Drosophila melanogaster: one gene and its partners. The protein of the gene in region 2 purifies or fractionates together with the protein of the main gene of each other region. This does not show direct contact. Each region holds a gene or a part of one and is shown on either strand. Other genes may lie near its edges.

Region 1 (6,233 bases), on a different chromosome or scaffold from region 2:
GACTTTTTTGCTCTTTTTGTTTTTAAATTCGTTTTGGTTTATGTTTATTGCTGTTTAAGTGCTCCAAAGCAAGCTATATATGAGATACAAGATAAATACAATCAAAATACATAGTAAGAGAGTACACATACGGATATACATATTTATATAGAGTCAAATGTCGGTTGTGTCTGTTGTTGCATCGGTGCAAAACACACAAATTAATAGATAAAGTAATCGCCAAACTCAAGTGCACCAAACAAAAAGAGTGAAAGCATATGTTGAAACCAAACTTGAGATACGAAACCCTGAGATTTTAAAGCGCTGCTTTAAAAACCGCACCAGACTTTACAATACTAGATACATCCAGCCCGAAAGCCTCTAGAAGAAATAATTCAATTTGCGGGCAAACAAAAAGCAAACGGAAAGGAAAAGCATGGCAAAAAAATAAAACAAAACATGGCAAAAGAGTATTTCCCTTGACATTTCAAAGTCGACTAGGGAATACACAGCACAAAACTAAATGAAGATATAATTTTTTACAAACTGAGCAAAATGAGCAATTAATGTCACATTTATTTGCCAGCGAAAGTGCTTGTAATCAATTGAATTTTAACCATTAACCATATATAGAATTTTATATTTACAAGAATATTATTTTTGCAGCAAACTCTTTGAGTATTACCAATCAATCTCATTTAACTCATAGAGACTCTGCTTGAACTTAACCCATGGCAGACCGAAACAAGAAGCCGCAAAAGTGCAAATAGCCTGGGCTCAAGAATCAGAAAGTGGACAGACAAACGTCTACGACTATGTCTGGATATGCAAATTTTCAGACCAAACTGCATTATGCATTAAATGGCGACCCACAAGCACAGCGAGAATTCATAGCAAATGAATTGATTTTCCACCGCCCTCTTTGCGCGGTTCCATCTATTTTTAAATGCGAAGAATGCTAATCAAATTGTTATCGATTTTGTTGCAAAAGCGAAGAAAGTTCTTTGAGAAGAATTTAGAGTAATGTGGTTCTCGACCATTAAGAATTTCAAATATATGTACATATATATTTATAGCTGATTAAGCATAAGATAATTACGTGCATGTGTACAAAGTAAGACCACGCGTTTTACGGCTTTGTTTGGAAAAAAGTAGATAAAACGCAAAGTACGTGTGTTACTATATTCACTATAAACACTTTATATTGTTGATAAATTTATTGAAAATAATATAATCGAGCAATAAATAAAAGAGGCAAACATATTCTTGATAAGCGAATACCAAATTTTATTAGGCTATCGATAAGACTAAGAAATCCAAATATATACCACTTTCTTGTTTCGAGATATAGTAATTTGATTAGATATCACTTTAAAAACAATTAATAAGGGCAATACTTTTATAACAACATATAACATAATGAGGCTTGTTAAGATATTTTTGTCTTTTCGGCAGTTAAGATAGCAATTAACCCCAGCTGGCCCCAGCAAAATCTCAGAAATACTGCTAAGTTAAGTGGCGTTTATTAACCAGTTTGTAGCTGAAGAATCGCTGTAGTTTCTGATATAACCACCGTTCTTTATGCGGTCCGACGGGTCTGCATTTATTTTTGTTTATTTTTCGTGTAAACAACGCACTTGACACATATCGAGAAGAGCCGGCTGTGGGGAAACTCCATCGAGAACCCGCCTCAAAACTGTATCTCACAGATAAACCCGTTCCGCAGGCATTCGAGCTATGCGAGAAATCGAGTTAATATTGGTATGAGGGGGGAATACTCATACTCGTAAATGGGCAGTGAAATTCATTGACCGATGATCGTAGTAACGATCCACTGCGAAAAAGGGCCGTTTGTCTGCCTCGTTTGTTTGTTTTCATTTGGCCAATGGAAGGCGAAATAATTTAATTAAATGTCGCGCAGTATAAGACGGGCGAAACAAAAAACACTACGCAAATGAAGTGCAAGAGTCAAGTAAAAGTGGGTGGTGGTGATGGTGACGGTCTGTTTTTGTTGTGGTGGTGGTCTGAACTTGAGCAAATTGAATGCCAGACAGAGGCAATGACGAAGCTTTCTTTGTGTTTCTGTGCACTTGACTTTCGGCAAAACGTCACCGCTTCGTTTTATTGCCAAAAAAATATACAGCTGCGCTTGTGTTGGTATCAAAACAAACAGAATGCCCAACGAGTTGCGAATCACTTTGTTCCAAAGGCTGCGAGCCTTGACGCCAGCCAGCGGTTCAATGAACGTATACACTCGTATAGCTAAGAGACGGAAAAAGCTCCCCAAACGCTCCAAACACCGAACTAAACTCGAAATGGGGAGCTGCAGCGTGTGCGTTGTTCGCCGATTGATATGCGCGGTGGTACTGATCAGTCTGCGATCACTCTCGTTATATCCAAACGCAATTAAATGCGAGCAAAATATTCCACATTCACGAGGCTATTTGACGTGCACTATTGTCAGACGTTTAGCATGTTTCCGCTAAGATGAAAAATATTGATGAAAGCCCGTCAGTAGCCCCACAATCTATGATTCCTAAATACATACTTTTTATCTCATCATTAAACAACGAGAAAGCTTTTCTATTTAAACCCTGCAGATTGAACTCAATTCTCTTACAATCTTGGGATTAACAAAACTTAAAAATTTAATACATATTTAAAAATTGAATTGAATTCGCAAAGATCTGAGGATTGGAAATTATAATTTTGGTTGTTTCGACTTAAGGAGAGAATACTGCAAACAAACATTGAAGATTGTACAACGAAAGACCATAATAATAATAAAATGTCTGTGTTAAACATCTGCTTATCTGGTATCTACGTTACTTTCGCAAATGAAATGTTTGCTTTTGGTTTATGGTTATCTTGAGATGTTTTTCTATTAGCACCTCAAACAGGTGGAAAGGGCTAGCCGCTGGTGACGAAGGTCACTGCTCGCTCGCTGATGCTGCCCACTGTGCCACACGATCGCCGGGCCCCTCCTCGATCCGCCTCGGCGTCCCCCATCACCTCCTCCATACCGCTGGCACTGTTGCATTTTCCAATGTTGCTGCATCTGTTGTAAATGCGGGCGTATATTAGGTATCATTTGTATATAATATATTAATGGCTACATGGGTGCTTTCTGTGGCTGTGTGCGTATGATAACGAGCCAGAAATGCGATTAGATTTCATTTGTGACACTAGAACTACTCGCACCTACACACACACGTATACGCACACGGACGCACTGATTGGGGGGCACACGAATGTGCGAAACTTCATTCATTACTCATCCGCCCCCCCTCGCAAACATAAACCCGTTTCCACCCACGCCCCTGGCAACCCTGGATCCACTATGACTAATCACTCGACCGGCTAACGGCAGTTATCAAATAAAAAAAAAAACAACAAAAAACAAAAGCCAAAGAAGCGCTATCAATAAGCATATGTTGTAAAAAACGGTTAGCGGGGAATTACGTTTAGACAAGGGGGATCTATAATTACGGAAAATTATTATTTAAGAAAAAGAAGCCCCAAAGAGAAAGAGAGACAGAAATATGTTTGTGGCCCCCTCCCACTTACTCTTTCGCTCACCTGCAATGTTTCTGTTATTGTTGGTTTTGTTGCTTCACTGCAGTTCGCCTTTGGTTGTGTGTGTGTGCGTGTGGGGGCTCCGCTCGGCTGTGTATGTGTGTGTCTGTGTGTGCGACTCCTCCTCCCCAACTAGTTTTCTTTTCTATATTTTACGACTTTCTTTTCTTTCTTTTTTCGGACTCGAATAGACACGGTCACAAGATGACGATGACGACAATGCGACGTCAACAAAGGGGGAAAATAGTATAGCTGCGCGCACGATATGGATATCCAAAAATCCTGGCACTCTATCGGGTTTATAGGGCTCTCGACTGCGATTGCGATGATATTGCAACTTATTTACCCTTTGCACTCTGCGCACAAAACACGAATTATTATTTCTTTCTCTGCTTTTCGCTTTGCACTAGTGGTGGACCAGAATTGATGGGCACTCGAAATATCGCGATATCGATTTATTCCTGAACCTATCGGTTCTTATCAGTTTGGAGTATAAGTATTTTAAAAATACTAGCTCACAGAAGAGCAAAATTATTCCTGTTATTTAATTATATTCATTTGCTTTTGGTATGTAAAATTTATAAAGGAATAACAATTTATCTTTGACCATCAACTACCGTCGTTCTTTTTATTTTTCTATATGTACAATAAATATTTAAGCTTTTAATTAGTAGAATGTTAAAATTATCTACAAGTTGTTTACATAGTAATTTAAATGTAACGCCGATATTTTTGAGTTGTCATCCCGATTTTTAAACATGATACTCGATGATATCGATAGCTGTGACAAATCACCTATCGATATCACTTGCATTCTCAAACTTACCAAACTGTGGTGAATTTGCTTGCGTGAAAGTGATAACTTTACTTCTCTAAAGTATTTACAGTTGTGCATGGATATTTTCAACATCAAGATTTAAAATTCTGTGTTCTTCTAAATATATTTTCTTATTGTTAAATTAGATAATCATTTGGTTTTTAGATTCTTGTTTTTGTGAGCTGCGAATATCTTAGTTCCCACCTCTACCGTTAGCGGTTACCCAAAATGGCGCCAACAGAACATTTTCAAAAACAAAAAAGGAACTTTGCACTTCCGTTTCAACCATTTTATGAAAAACAACGGCAAGAACATTGCCAAGTTCTTTAAGAAGAGAACAACAAACTCGACTTTTATTTATGATTTTATTTAGAATACCATTTTCATTTTCGTATAATTACACGCTAAAATCTATTTTCTCATTTTGTTAACGAACTGATAACAATATATTTTCTCGTTTTTTTTTATTCGTATTTTTTTCAGTTTGTGCATGTGCACGACTACGGCTGTGTTTGTGTGTGTGTGGTTTTGTGTGTTTGTATGTGAGTGAGTGCTTTTCGTTATTAACATTAGCTCGATGCGATTTGTTGTTGCTGTCGTTTAACTCTAAGTACCTACTTGTAGATGTTCAACGTTCATACGTGTATACAGTTATTAAATATATATAATGTGCATATGCAGTTGCATATTCGATATCGCCAACTTCCTGTTTCTATCGGTCTTGCTTTCGTTTTTTAATTTCACGGTTTGTTTCAATTTATTTTTTATGATCATACTAAACCAGCGGAAAATATATCACCCATTTCGATGTGTTTCAATGTATCAATGTATCAGCTCTAGATATTTAAGAGATTTTAAAATACATAATTTATATATTTGGATTGTTTTCTGCAAATAGTTTAAAATTCCGTGAAATTGAAAACCGAAAGAGTTCCGCTTGCCAACGCCAAAGCACACATACGCGAAATTGAGCCCCCAACAAATAAGCTTAAATCATAAGACTGTCCTCGTACGTTTGTCCCGAATGCAGGATTACATCAAAAACCCAGTAATCGTATCAAATTTTGCATAAAATCGACGAAAAAACTCAACAAAAAAGCGTTTGGTCTGACAAACTGTTCGATTTAGCGATGGCTTAAATAAAACATAAGAACTAAGTTAACTTAAGGCATACAAATCCGAAACTCGCTCCTTCCGCCGTTTGCATGCTGCTCCGTCCGCTCTCCATCGATTCCACCGCCTCCATCCCTCTGCGATTTACAGTAAAATAATGTGGTTATTTTCGGGGGATTCCCCCCGAGGAGCCAAACCCCCAGGCGGAGGACTCACTCCTCCGGCGGTTCCTCGGGAATCTGGAGGCTCTGCGCCGCGTGGGGATACTCCGCGTGCACTGAGTTAGAGTGCACCGACTCGGAGTCCTCCTCCAGCGCATTCGCCTTGCTCGGAGGCGGCGTCAGTGCATCACTGCCCACTGGAGGCTGCACCAGATTGGGGATGTACTCGACCGTCTCGTACTCGGTCTTGGCCACCGCCTCGTGGTCCAGATCCCGCTCTAGTTCTCGCTCCCTTTCGCGTTCCCTCTCCCTTTCCAGATCCTGCTGCAGGGGATCTAGAACCACTGGCGGAACGAGGGCAGTTTGATTGACTGTAGTGTCCGGTGGATTGGGATCCTGGAGTTCCACAATCACGGGCAGCGTTTCATTGGGTTTCGGTGTTGTGGTGCTGGTGGTAGTCGTCGTGGGTGCTGTAGTCGTAATAATCTCGATGGGAGCCACCTGACTACTGGTCTCCGTTGTTGTTGTCGTCGTTGTGGTACTTGTGGTTGTCGTGGTCTCCTGTGTGTAATTGGTTGGCACTGGAT
Region 2 (5,136 bases):
GCATGGAGACATTCAGTTGCACGGCCAGTGTGCTGATCGATGCCGGTTTCACCAAGGTGATGACGTGGTCGGCCTTCGGCAAGGACGAACCCCAGCCGCCGTTCGTTCAGGGCACTCAGGTGGCCATCAACGATGTGCGACTTATCGAAAGCCAGACAGGACCGCCGGATTATCTCACCGAATCGGAGCTAATCACACTGATGGAGGAGCACGGCATCGGGACGGATGCCTCCATACCGGTGCACATCAACAACATCTGCCAGCGCAACTATGTGCACATTGAGAACGGTCGCAAGCTGATGCCAACGACGCTGGGCATTGTGCTGGTCCACGGCTATCAGAAGATCGATCCGGAACTGGTGCTGCCCACCATGCGAACGGAGGTGGAGCGCATGCTGACACTGATTGCCCAGGGATCGGCTAACTTTCAGGATGTTCTGCGACACGCCATCAAGATTTTCAAGCTGAAGTTTATGTACTTTGTGAAGAACATCGACAGCATGGACGCACTGTTTGAGGTATCCTTCTCGCCGCTGGCCGAGTCGGGCAAGGCGCACTCGCGCTGCGGCAAGTGTAGGCGCTACATGAAGTACATACAGGTGGGTCAATCTGCCTGTCAGTCACCGTTCAACTTGTAATCTCCCTGCTAACGTTTAATTGCAGACCAAACCGGCGAGATTGCACTGCTCTCATTGCGATGAGACATACGCCCTGCCCATTGGCAATGTGAAGGTGTATCGCGAGTTCAAGTGCCCGCTGGACGACTTTGATCTGCTGGCTTTCTCCACTGGCGTGAAGGGGCGTTCGTATCCGTTCTGCCCGTACTGTTACAACCATCCGCCGTTCAGCGACATGCCCCACTTGGGGGGCTGCAACACCTGCACGAACGCCAACTGCCCGCACTCGCTGAACACGCTGGGCATCTCCAGCTGCGTGGAGTGCCCCACCGGGGTCCTGGTGCTCGATTGTACGCTTGCGCCAACCTGGAAGCTGGGCTGCAATCGCTGCGACGTGATCATCAACTGCTTCAAGGGAGCCACCAAGATCACGGTGGAAGGTACGTTGGCGTTGCTACCCTCACACAACCCCCCTTATGTCATTTGTGAGACGATTATACAAACATTTGATTATATTTTGCAGAGGCCAAGTGCCAGGAGTGTGGCGCCCAGCAGGTGAATGTGGTCTACAAGTCGGACAAGAGCAAGTTCAAGGACGGAAGCGAGGAGAAGAGCGGCTGCATCTTCTGCTCCGCAGACTTCTCGCACTTGGTCGAGAAGCATCGGGCGGTGGCATCCAGACCAGTTCGCAGTGGCGGCGGCTTCCGTGGCGGCAAGGCAGGTCGAGGCGGTGGCGGAATGGGCGGGGCGGCTTTTGGCTCCGGAGGAGCGGTTACGGCTGGCGGTGGACCTAATGCTGGGGGCGGGGTGCGTGGCAGTCGAGTGGCCAAGGATAAGATGGGACAACTGGCGTCGTATTTCGTTTGAGGACACTGAATTGCATTTAGAAGAACAATAACTAAACAAGAAAAAAAAAGCCTAATAAAAACGAAATTGTATAAATAAAATTTCCATTTCATTCTGTCTTTAAGGGGCTTTGGACATAAATAAATATTAGGGTAGCATTTTTTTAAATTCCATAATTGTAAAACATTTCTTATATTTGTATCCATAAATACATTAATTTATTTCTTAATATAAAGCAACTTAATGAAATCTCGTGTAACTTGGAACTATTTTATGGTAAGAAGCTACCAATTCCAAAAAATCTTCAATTTTTTATAGGAAAAACTTTATTTTGTTTAGTTTTAAGAGTTTTTAAAGTATAAATAAAAAAAATGTTCATATGTAGGGGTAAACTATACAGAAATAAATAAAAATTGAGTAAATACATTTGAATTTCTCTGTACCCTTACATTCACTGGTCGGAAATTGGCTTAATTTAGGTCACAAAGGCGGACCCCCATGTATTTTCTTGAGAAAGGGTTTTTGTGTTATTTTAAAGGATTGCTTTTAATGACTTTGTACAATTTATTTTTTTAATATTTATGCACGGGGTACATTTGAATACATGTACACTGGAATGTTAGTATGAGAAAGTCATGACAATTATTTGTATAATTGTGTATATTATCTTATATCTTTAAAGTTTGTACTCAAAAAGTTAATAACGTTTACTATTAGTTTTCATCAGCCCTTTCCATTCTAGGAACTTTCAAGATGCATTAAGTCGCATACATATGTAAATATCTGTGTACGCAGACTGGCTTATTTGCGAGTGTGTTGGTGGGGAAATTGGAAATTGTCTAAAGGCTGTTGACCAAAATCACTTTAAGCGGCAGAGAGCGAAAACAAAGTAACCTACCGTCCGAGTGATCGAGAGAGCAGGCGGCGAATTTCCAGTCAGCTTGCCTATAAATACCAGAGCGGGGCTGCGAAACGAATCATAAGCTGTGTGAAAGTCGTAGAGAGCGGACGTCCGAGCAAGTGAAAAAACCTAGTTTTTGAATATTTCAAAAAGTGCCGACCAAAAGTAAAGAAATAAACTAACTTTTGTGTGCGAAACAATAAAAAAAGGTGAGTTTAGTTTGGCAAGTGCTTCATAGTTTTTCATAGTTGCATTGAAAATGGCAAAGCAGCAAACGAAAAACGGTACTTTCCATGCTTCTATCTGTGTGTGTGTGTGTGTGTGTGTGTGTGTGCGTGTGTGTGTGTATGCCCAGTTCCAGAGGATCTTATTTTTTTTTAACGAAGTTAGAGATTAGTCACCACAACTAAAGCAACTGGAGGGCGGAAGCACTCTGTCTGACTACAACATCCCCTTCACTTGGTCCTGCGTCTGCGTGGTGGCATGCAGATCTTCGTTAAGACCCTCACTGGCAAGACCATCACCTTGGAGGTCGAGCCATCCGATACCATCGAAAACGTCAAAGCCAAGATACAGGACAAGGAGGAAAATCCCCCAGAGCATCAGCGTTTGATCTTCGGCGGAAAGCACCTGGAGAACGGACGCACTCTGTCCGACTACAACATCCAGAAGGAGTCGACCATTTACTTGGTCCTGCGTCTGCGGGGTGGCATGCAAATCTTCGTGAAGACCCTCACTGGCAAGACCATCACCTTGGAGGTCGAGCCATCCGATACCATCGAAAACGTCAAAGCCAAGATACAGGACAAGGAGGAAAACCCCCCAGAGCATCAGCGTTTGATCTTCGGCGGAAAGCACCTGGAGAACGGACGCACTCTGTCCGACTACAACATCCAGAAGGAGTCGACCATTTACTTGGTCCTGCGTCTGCGTGGTGGCATGCAGATCTTTGTGAAGACCCTCACTGGCAAGACCATCACCTTGGAGGTCGAGCCATCCGATAGCATTGAAAACGTTAAGGCCAGGATCCACGACAAGGAGGGAATCCCCCCAGATCAACAGCGTTTGATCTTCGCCGGAAAGCAGTTGGAGGACGGACGCACTCTGTCCGATTACAACATCCAGAAGGAATCGACCCTTCACTTGGTCCTGCGTCTGCGTGGTGGCATGCAGATCTTTGTGAAGACCCTCACTGGCAAGACCATCACCTTGGAGGTTGAGCCATCCGATACCATCAAACACGTCAAAGCCAGGATCCACGACAAGGATGGAATCCCCCCAGATCATCAGCGTTTGATTTTCGCCGGAAAGCAGCTGGAGGACGGACGTACTCTGTCCGACTACAACATCCAGAAGGAGTCGACCCTTCACAGTCACTTTAAGTGGTAGAGAGCGAAAACAAATTAACCCACCGTGAGGGAGAGAGCAGGCGGCGAATTTCCAGTCAACTTATACCTATACCTATAAATACCAGCGCGCTGCTGTAAAACGAATCGTAAGCTGTGAAAAAGTCGTAGAGAGCGGACGTCCGAGCAAGTGAAGAAAGCAAGTTTTTGAATATTTCAAAAAGTGCAGACCAAATGTAAAGAAATAAATTAGCTTTTCTGTGCGAAACAGGAAAAAAATTCCGGTTAGTTTGGCAAGTGTTTCATAGTTTTTTTTAGTTGCTTTTAAAATGCCGAAGCAACAAGTGCAGTAAGCGAAAAAGGGTGCATTCCATGCATCTGTGTGTTTTTTTTATATACGGCAGGAAAATGAAATTCAAAGATACCGTCCACCGTCCGTAGATGGCATGCACGATTCATAACTCTCAGCTAGAGAATTATGCCTACGTACTAAACAAAAATCTCTGATCTCTCTCCTGTCCTTGTCAAGCTCACCGGCACTGCCAGTCAAAGTATTTTATCGGTGAGCAGGTCATGGTCAGATCCGACGAGCGATGCGGAGATCGTGATGGGGACTTTGTTCCCGCCCTTGAGGAGGCACGCTAATGAAGTCCATCGTCTTCTGGCTTGTGGCAGTCATAGAAGCTGTAGGGGCCAAAGTCTCCACATCTACAGCTGCACTGCAGTCGCTAGTTTTCGGCTGCTTGCTCACCCCTCGCTCCGTGAATTGGAGTTCGGACTCCTCTTGTAGGGGATCTCGATAGGCTGTAGCTCCTCCTGAACGGGTCGTTGGGATCGGGCACTGCCTCCCCTGTTCTGTCCATCTGATCTAATGGGCGGACTACGGCTTGTTGGTCACCAACGTTAGAAAGGGATCCATTGTGGGCCACGGATTTCTCCCTGGCGTTTTACCGGTGGAGGTTTATGCCGCCTCTAATCGGACACCAGAGCCTTTGCTTAGGCATCAGAACGGCGAGAGGATGATTAGTTGTCTGTCCGCGACCTTTAAGCCTTTTCCCTTTCTAAGAGGTTGTTCCGCTCCGAAAGAATCAAAACATGTTTAAATTCTTAATTCAAATTTTAATTTTAATTCAAATTAATTAATCCAAATTCGAATTTGAGCATGAACACACTTGTCGTGTGTGTGTGTGTGTGTGTGTATGCCCAGTTCCAGGGGATTTTATTATTATTTTTTTTTGACTAAGTTAGAGATTAGTCACCAAACCTAAATTTACTGTAAATTAACGAAAAAACCAATAATGTTTGTTTTCTGTATGTGTATGCTAAAATACTCTTCTGGGTCGCGGGAATTGGGTCACTACGCAGAAAATCAATTTCCTTCCACTTTCCATTACTCAGCCAACTTTTTTCCTTTTCCATTTCTCCA
Region 3 (6,173 bases), 9.5 Mb from region 2:
GTGACCGCTTCGCGGCTCCATCCCCGATTGCCACATCGAGGATGTATCGATATACGATGGCAGTGTGACCCACGTGCGTGGCGGAACAACGGATTGGAGCCGCTTTACGCCAATAAGAATAATAACTGCACAGAGGGGCATTCAAAAATCCAATAGGTTTTATTTTAAATGAGCTTCCCCTTAAAAAGAAGCTCATTAAAATTCCTATATGAATATAATGAAACAAATAAGAAACCTAACCATCTGAGGTCTTATTCGATTTAGGTTTGAATAAAACCTCTTAAATAAGTTACAACCAACTTTTAAAACTACTCTGCATATATAAAATTAGTTATTTCTTTTATTTCAAAACAAACAATTAGGTTTCTATAATACCTTAAGCACTAAAGTTATTCGTTTTCATACGTTATTGACTCGCTTTTGAAGTTGTGCACCTGTTCGTACCACACATCATCCCCATCTTGCTGCGGCTCGCCGTAAAACGTTGGGAACGGTGGGGCTTCCTTATTCTTTCGCGTTGGCAAGATGGTATCGTATATGTAGACCAGACCGCCGGTGGGGCCGGCCACCGAGCTCCCTTGCACCCACATAACATTATATTTGGTGTTAATGCGCCACACGCGCAGACCCTTGATGATGCGCCACCGGTTTCCCATGTGTCCCGGCATCTTTGTGCCTGGCCAGACGCGACCCTTCTCGCCACCACCGCCAATGTTGCCGGCACGTCGATGAGTTTTCGTCACACCGTGCGATGCTGGCATGCCCTTAAATCCGTGTCGCTTGACAACACCTTGGAAGCCATGGTCAACTCTGCAAAATATAAGTAGAGTACGTATAACCAGCGCTTAGACGTATGTACTTACGTTTTGCCGCGAACATCGACGAAGTCACCAACGCGAAAGTGGTTGACATTTAGTGGAGTGCCTGGCGCCAGTTGGGCTTCTGGAGAGACGATGAATCGGGCCAGGTTCTTCTTGGGGAGCACACCCGAGTTGCGGAATATGCCCGCGTACTCTTTGGTCAACAGAGCTGGGTTCGTGGTCTCGGAGCCAACGAGAATGCAGCCGCGCTTGTGCAGGTTGGCTACCGTGGGAACTTGGGCAGGTAAATACTCTTCCGGGGGAATGTATTTAATGACATGATTGTCGACGATTTGCAGCAGCGTGGTGCGAATCCGCTCGCCATTCTTTAGCCACAGCGGGTACTGGCCAATTTTGCGCGCTATAACGCCGCATCTTCGCAAATTCGGAGTCCACACAGCCTCATTGGCGGTTGGGCCCGCGGTCTTGACCAAACTATCCTTAATAACTGCCGGAACGCCAAAGTTATTGGTGCCCACTTCGTTGACGAACTGCTTGTTCTCCGCCGTCATCAAATCGTTGTATTTCTGTTGCAATAAAACGCAAATGAGTAGTTTGTTTATAGATAAAAAGATATATGTCACATACTGTAATTTCCTTGCGCAGAAACCATTGGGGATTCCGCAGTCGAGGTCTGCTCAAATGGCCCTTATCGCGCACCTGCGTAACCAAAACACTGCTATTTCCACTGAGCCTGAATGGAGAAACCAGAATTTACTAAATGGCCACTATAGCAACGATAAGTGTACCCACCGGAGACCCAGTAATTGATTAATAACGCTCCGCATCATACTTATATAATATAATTTAACAAAGCATAAAAGCGAGCCGGTGCAGAATAACCAAAAGAGCTGTCAAAACATCGGCCACAGTATCGATATCAGCGATATTTGGGGCACGGCTGCTTGACCATCGATTATTTCTGGTCAATTTCGATTCCACATGCTCTTATAATTGGAGTAGTGGAAACATGATGTGATTATTATCGCAACTATGTAAATCAGAAATTGTAGTTTTTAATAAATTTGTAACATTTGTAATACATTTTGGTAATGAATTCACCCCTCTCTATGTAACGACGCGCAATGTTGTTCATTGACAAAATAGATGATTCACAATTCGTGCTAAGCTATGCATGCTGCAAACTTTAGACGCTTAATAAACATTTGATATCTATCAAAGAAGTTTTAGCGCTTTCATTTTGTTTCCCAATCATTTCTGTCAATTAAAGTTAGAGAATGGGAGAGAGTAATGCGTTGAAATGCGAACAAGTAAGTAACAGGTGGTTGTTGGAACGCATGAGAAGTAGATGGCACGGCAAAAGCTTATGGACACTCCTGCAAATGTTAGTGTCGCGGTGGAGACAGGGTATTTGATGCGCTTAACAGCACAGTTAATATACTTAACAGCACGTTCAGATAACTTGTGTATTTTTATCAGACCTACATTAATTTTTTTTTCTAATCGGAGATTTAACAGTCAAAGTAATATATATATATTGTGGTGCATTTAGAATACAATGAAACGAAATATGCAATTGATGCTGAATAATATCGCGTAATTGATGCGAAACGCGCGACACGACACGGCCAATTTGCGTTCTTCGATCAGAGCAACATTAGATATTGGGAAATTACTCATACACTAATGTTTACTCTGTGAGTAATTTTAACACGGGCACAAATGTGTGTGCGGTTGCGGTACGCGAAAAACTACCGACGGTTGCCTTTCGTAACTAAGAGCATTTATTTTTGTATAAGTGAATTCCAATGGGCTAAAGTCATATGAAAAGCGTCTAAACATGAGCCCCTCGACGATTCGTTTATAAGGATTTGATTTATTTATTTATTTGTGATTCCATTGCATTGCGTATGTATGTGTGCTGGTGTGTATCTACGTATATGTATGCTGATATATATATATTATTTAGTTTTTTAAACAACTACATGCATGCGAAATAAACAAAGGATTTGGTGCTGCAGTTGAATTTCATCCCAGGGGTATGTCCGATATCGAAATTATGGTGTTAGTGGCCTCGCAACCTGTTTTAAGATCGAATGTTTACATATGTACATCGAAATTTAACAAGTTTATGCAAAAAAAAAGAGGAAACGATAAAAACTCTCGCCCACCCCTCCCTTCAACACATTCTTATGCACATAGTGTTGTAAAGTGCGCATATGAGTTATTTATCAGTAAGCGAACATAAACTAAAGTTATTTTTAAATAACAAATGTACACAACATACAAATACAGGCGGTGCACATCTGTATGTATGCAAGTATGCAAGTATGCCTGTACATACCTAGCTTCATGCAACAATTTTAAGCGGGCTTAACTGTAAAAAAAAACCGATAAGATAATTTAAAACGGAATGTTTAACTGTTTTTTAAGCCCCAAAAATCCACCATAAGTTCGTATTCAACAGGTATTAAGGTATATCTAGCGAAAATACATAGCAACAGCTGTGTTTTTACTCGTTGCGCATTCCATCAGTGGAAACTCGCCAACAAAATTTCCCATGATCTTGAATTGCACTATCTGAACTCGGCTTTAAATAAATACATATATATTGCATTATTTCAATGCCTAACATTTTCATATATATAACTATCTCTTAGGCTTATAAAGTTATCAAGGATTTTTAAAGTTGTTGTAGTCAAAGAAAGTGAAAACAGGTGATTAACTGGTTATCAGTAATCAATGGTCCTATGAGCCGGATAAAAGTACTTTGCGAATTTGAATGGAAAGACTATTATTGCGTAAAGGGGATATGTTTTGTGAATTGTTTTAGTTAGGGTGTATATACATTTATCTGCGTCATTGTTTCCTTGATAACTTGGGCCTGGAATCCACTAAAATTTGTTTAAAATATATATTGATTAGGCGATTATTTCTGAGAATTCTCCGTGCCTGCGCCTATCTATCTTAAGATCTGATAAGAAAAACATATACAACAATGACAATGTAGTAAACAGGCGTCTGTAAGCAACTTTATGATTTAAATACACCCATAAATAAATGGCATTCAAAGTGTATTTTCCAAGTGGCTGACTTTCGCAATTTTTATTGAACATGATTTTCAATTGCAAAGTCGGTTTTGCATTTATGTAATGGCGACGACTTATCAGCCTGTGGCTGGTTTCACTGTAATAGGAAAGTGTTCGCAAGTGTATTTAAACTTGTTTTTGGTAAACGCTTGTACATATGTATATGTTTGCAAAAGATAAGAAATTTACTAGAGTGTGGGTCTTGCTCGGTACACAGACGATAAGAAATTAACAATAGTCCGTTCTTGATGAAAGTTAGTCGTTGACTGCCCACTTTTTATCGTGGCACTGTGTTTCAATTTATCTTTTTATATAATCTCATCAGTTTGCTTTTCGGATCTGCTCTTATTTTCGGAATTTCACAGTTTAAAGTTTATCGAATGTGGGGAACCGACCTTAAATCAAAATCACAATTGCCAGAGCTCTGCGCGATCAAAACGAATAAATATAATACATAATGGACTTCACTTGCTAATTATTGGTCAATTTAGGCTATAAATTCATATTCCGGTGATTGCGATGTACTCAAAATATCGTTTTTAAACCACACAAAGCAATGGGTTCTCTAAAAGAGAGAATGCAAGTTCTTTAATACAGAGTTGATAAGAATCGAGTGAATCATGTTTCTTCATGCTAGAACAAAATATTTTCTCAAAGTAACTTAGCGTATTCTTGGCCGCTCAGCCGCAATGCAAGTTTTGCGCAATTAACTCTACTTGTTGTTTAAAAAGATATCTTATATCAGTTGTCTTTGCAGGAAGGATTACCAATATGCATAATCCACCAACTGATAAACAGTATTTGCATTGAATAGTAAATATATAAAAGGAGCGCAATTCCAGCTGTAAATGTTGCAAACACCGCAGTTTTCTCGAAACTCAACCGACAAATCTACACAATATATCACAATATATCAGTCACTGCGAATGCACTTAGCTCTGTGGAAAGCAACATCGAAAGAACCTAAATAAAACTGAAACTTAAACTGAAAATCACAGCAAATATTCAAATTCAATATTATTAAAAGCAAACGCAAACATCATGGGCGGCGGCAAAAATGTACGCCGCGGCTTGGAGCCTCTGGAGTTCGAAGAATGCATCGTCGACAGTCCGGACTTTCGCGAAAATTTAAATCGACATGAAAAGGAACTGGACCACACTAGTCATCAAATAAAACGAATTATCAAAGAGGTCAAAGATCTTATGAGTGCGGCAAAGAGTAAGTAGTACAATCCATTTACCGGAGGGCGTAAAACGTGTGTCTGTTTATTAAAGTATACAAAAAATGATTTATAAATAATGCCTATTCACATATGCTTCCACATATCTTCTTGTCCTTCTGATTCCCGATCCCTGGTATGCTTGAAACACGTATTGAATTCGGGTCCAATCGACAGGCGTTTTAGGTACTCTTGATATTCGTTTAGCGTTATGAAACGCATATTTGGACACAGCTGTGTCACCTTCCGATGGTAGTCACAGGTATGATCCTGTACCCAATGGCGTGGCTCCATTAGCTCCACCTCCGTGAACTCCACATGCGTATCGAGTACACTCGGATTGTTGCGCACGGTTAAGAGCAAACTGCTGTTAAACACCGAGTCCCGCAGAAGTGTGATGACATCGGGCGACTTGCTAAACTCCTTTAGAATGTCACTAAATTCGGGCATCTTATGGAGTTCCTCACTCCTGAACTTCTTTAGCATGAGGGGCGGCAGGAAGCTGAAGCGAATTTGACTTAAAACCCTATAGGTGCTCGAACGTCGCTGCGGCCAAAGATGCGCTAGCCACATTAAGGCGGAATATAAAAGCTGTGTATTCATATATCATGGTTATACTTCTACTATACTATAGATATAGAACTTGCCTCCATTTCCGAATTGATTGCCAGAAAGTTGGACTTGAGTATGTAGCAAATTTGTGTTTCGCTGAGGCACAGGAATTCCCGAGTCGATGCGACTGGCAAAATTGAAATGGAAATGCGCCCAGTCAGCTTATCGAATACATCCCACAAGTTGGTGGCGCCTCGTAATTCGAACAATAGGCGAAACGCAGAGATCTCAAAGAATGTTATCCTATCCAGGTTCGCCCAACAGGCCTCGAGCAGCTCGGGAATGTCCAGGAAGTATGCGGCCCTCAAAATTTCGCCCATATCGCACGGATTAACCTCGCCATCACTGGAAATCATCCATAGATATGCGTCGCTGAATCCTTTCGGGCTCAAATCATTCGACTTAAAGACAATATGGTCAACATCTTCCTG

Evidence for each region.
Region 1: the proteins of CG11700 (region 2) and lqf purify together in Drosophila melanogaster (affinity purification with western blotting, with the first as the bait; one study listed by BioGRID). This does not show direct contact.
Region 3: the proteins of CG11700 (region 2) and Graf purify together in Drosophila melanogaster (affinity purification with western blotting, with the first as the bait; one study listed by BioGRID). This does not show direct contact.

What each region holds. Positions count from the first base shown.
Region 1 is NT_037436.4:7,526,512-7,532,744, reverse strand, and holds the start of lqf (liquid facets), read right to left. Parts: upstream 3,966-6,233; 5' UTR 3,559-3,965; exon of another isoform or gene 3,547-3,558; intron 317-3,546; exon of another isoform or gene 132-316; intron 74-131; 5' UTR 1-73. Other genes in the region: ltl (larval translucida), read right to left, coding at 5,698-6,233.
Region 2 is NC_004354.4:6,280,895-6,286,030, reverse strand, and holds CG11700 (uncharacterized protein), read left to right. Parts: upstream 1-2,455; 5' UTR 2,456-2,573; intron 2,574-2,750; 5' UTR 2,751-2,847; coding exon 2,848-3,753; 3' UTR 3,754-3,994; downstream 3,995-5,136. Other genes in the region: Top3beta (topoisomerase 3beta), read left to right, coding at 1-599, 664-1,057, 1,141-1,484.
Region 3 is NC_004354.4:15,756,812-15,762,984, reverse strand, and holds the start of Graf (GTPase regulator associated with FAK), read left to right. Parts: upstream 1-2,335; 5' UTR 2,336-2,745; intron 2,746-2,790; exon of another isoform or gene 2,791-2,860; intron 2,861-4,667; 5' UTR 4,668-4,951; coding exon 4,952-5,129; intron 5,130-5,217; coding exon of another isoform or gene 5,218-5,676; intron 5,677-5,759; coding exon of another isoform or gene 5,760-6,173. Other genes in the region: mRpL3 (mitochondrial ribosomal protein L3), read right to left, coding at 390-810, 864-1,387, 1,449-1,554, 1,614-1,651; CG8260 (uncharacterized protein), read right to left, coding at 5,218-5,676, 5,760-6,173. UniProt on the Drosophila melanogaster protein: GTPase-activating protein for Rho family proteins. Essential component of the CLIC (clathrin-independent carrier)/GEEC (GPI-anchored protein-enriched early endocytic compartment) endocytic pathway.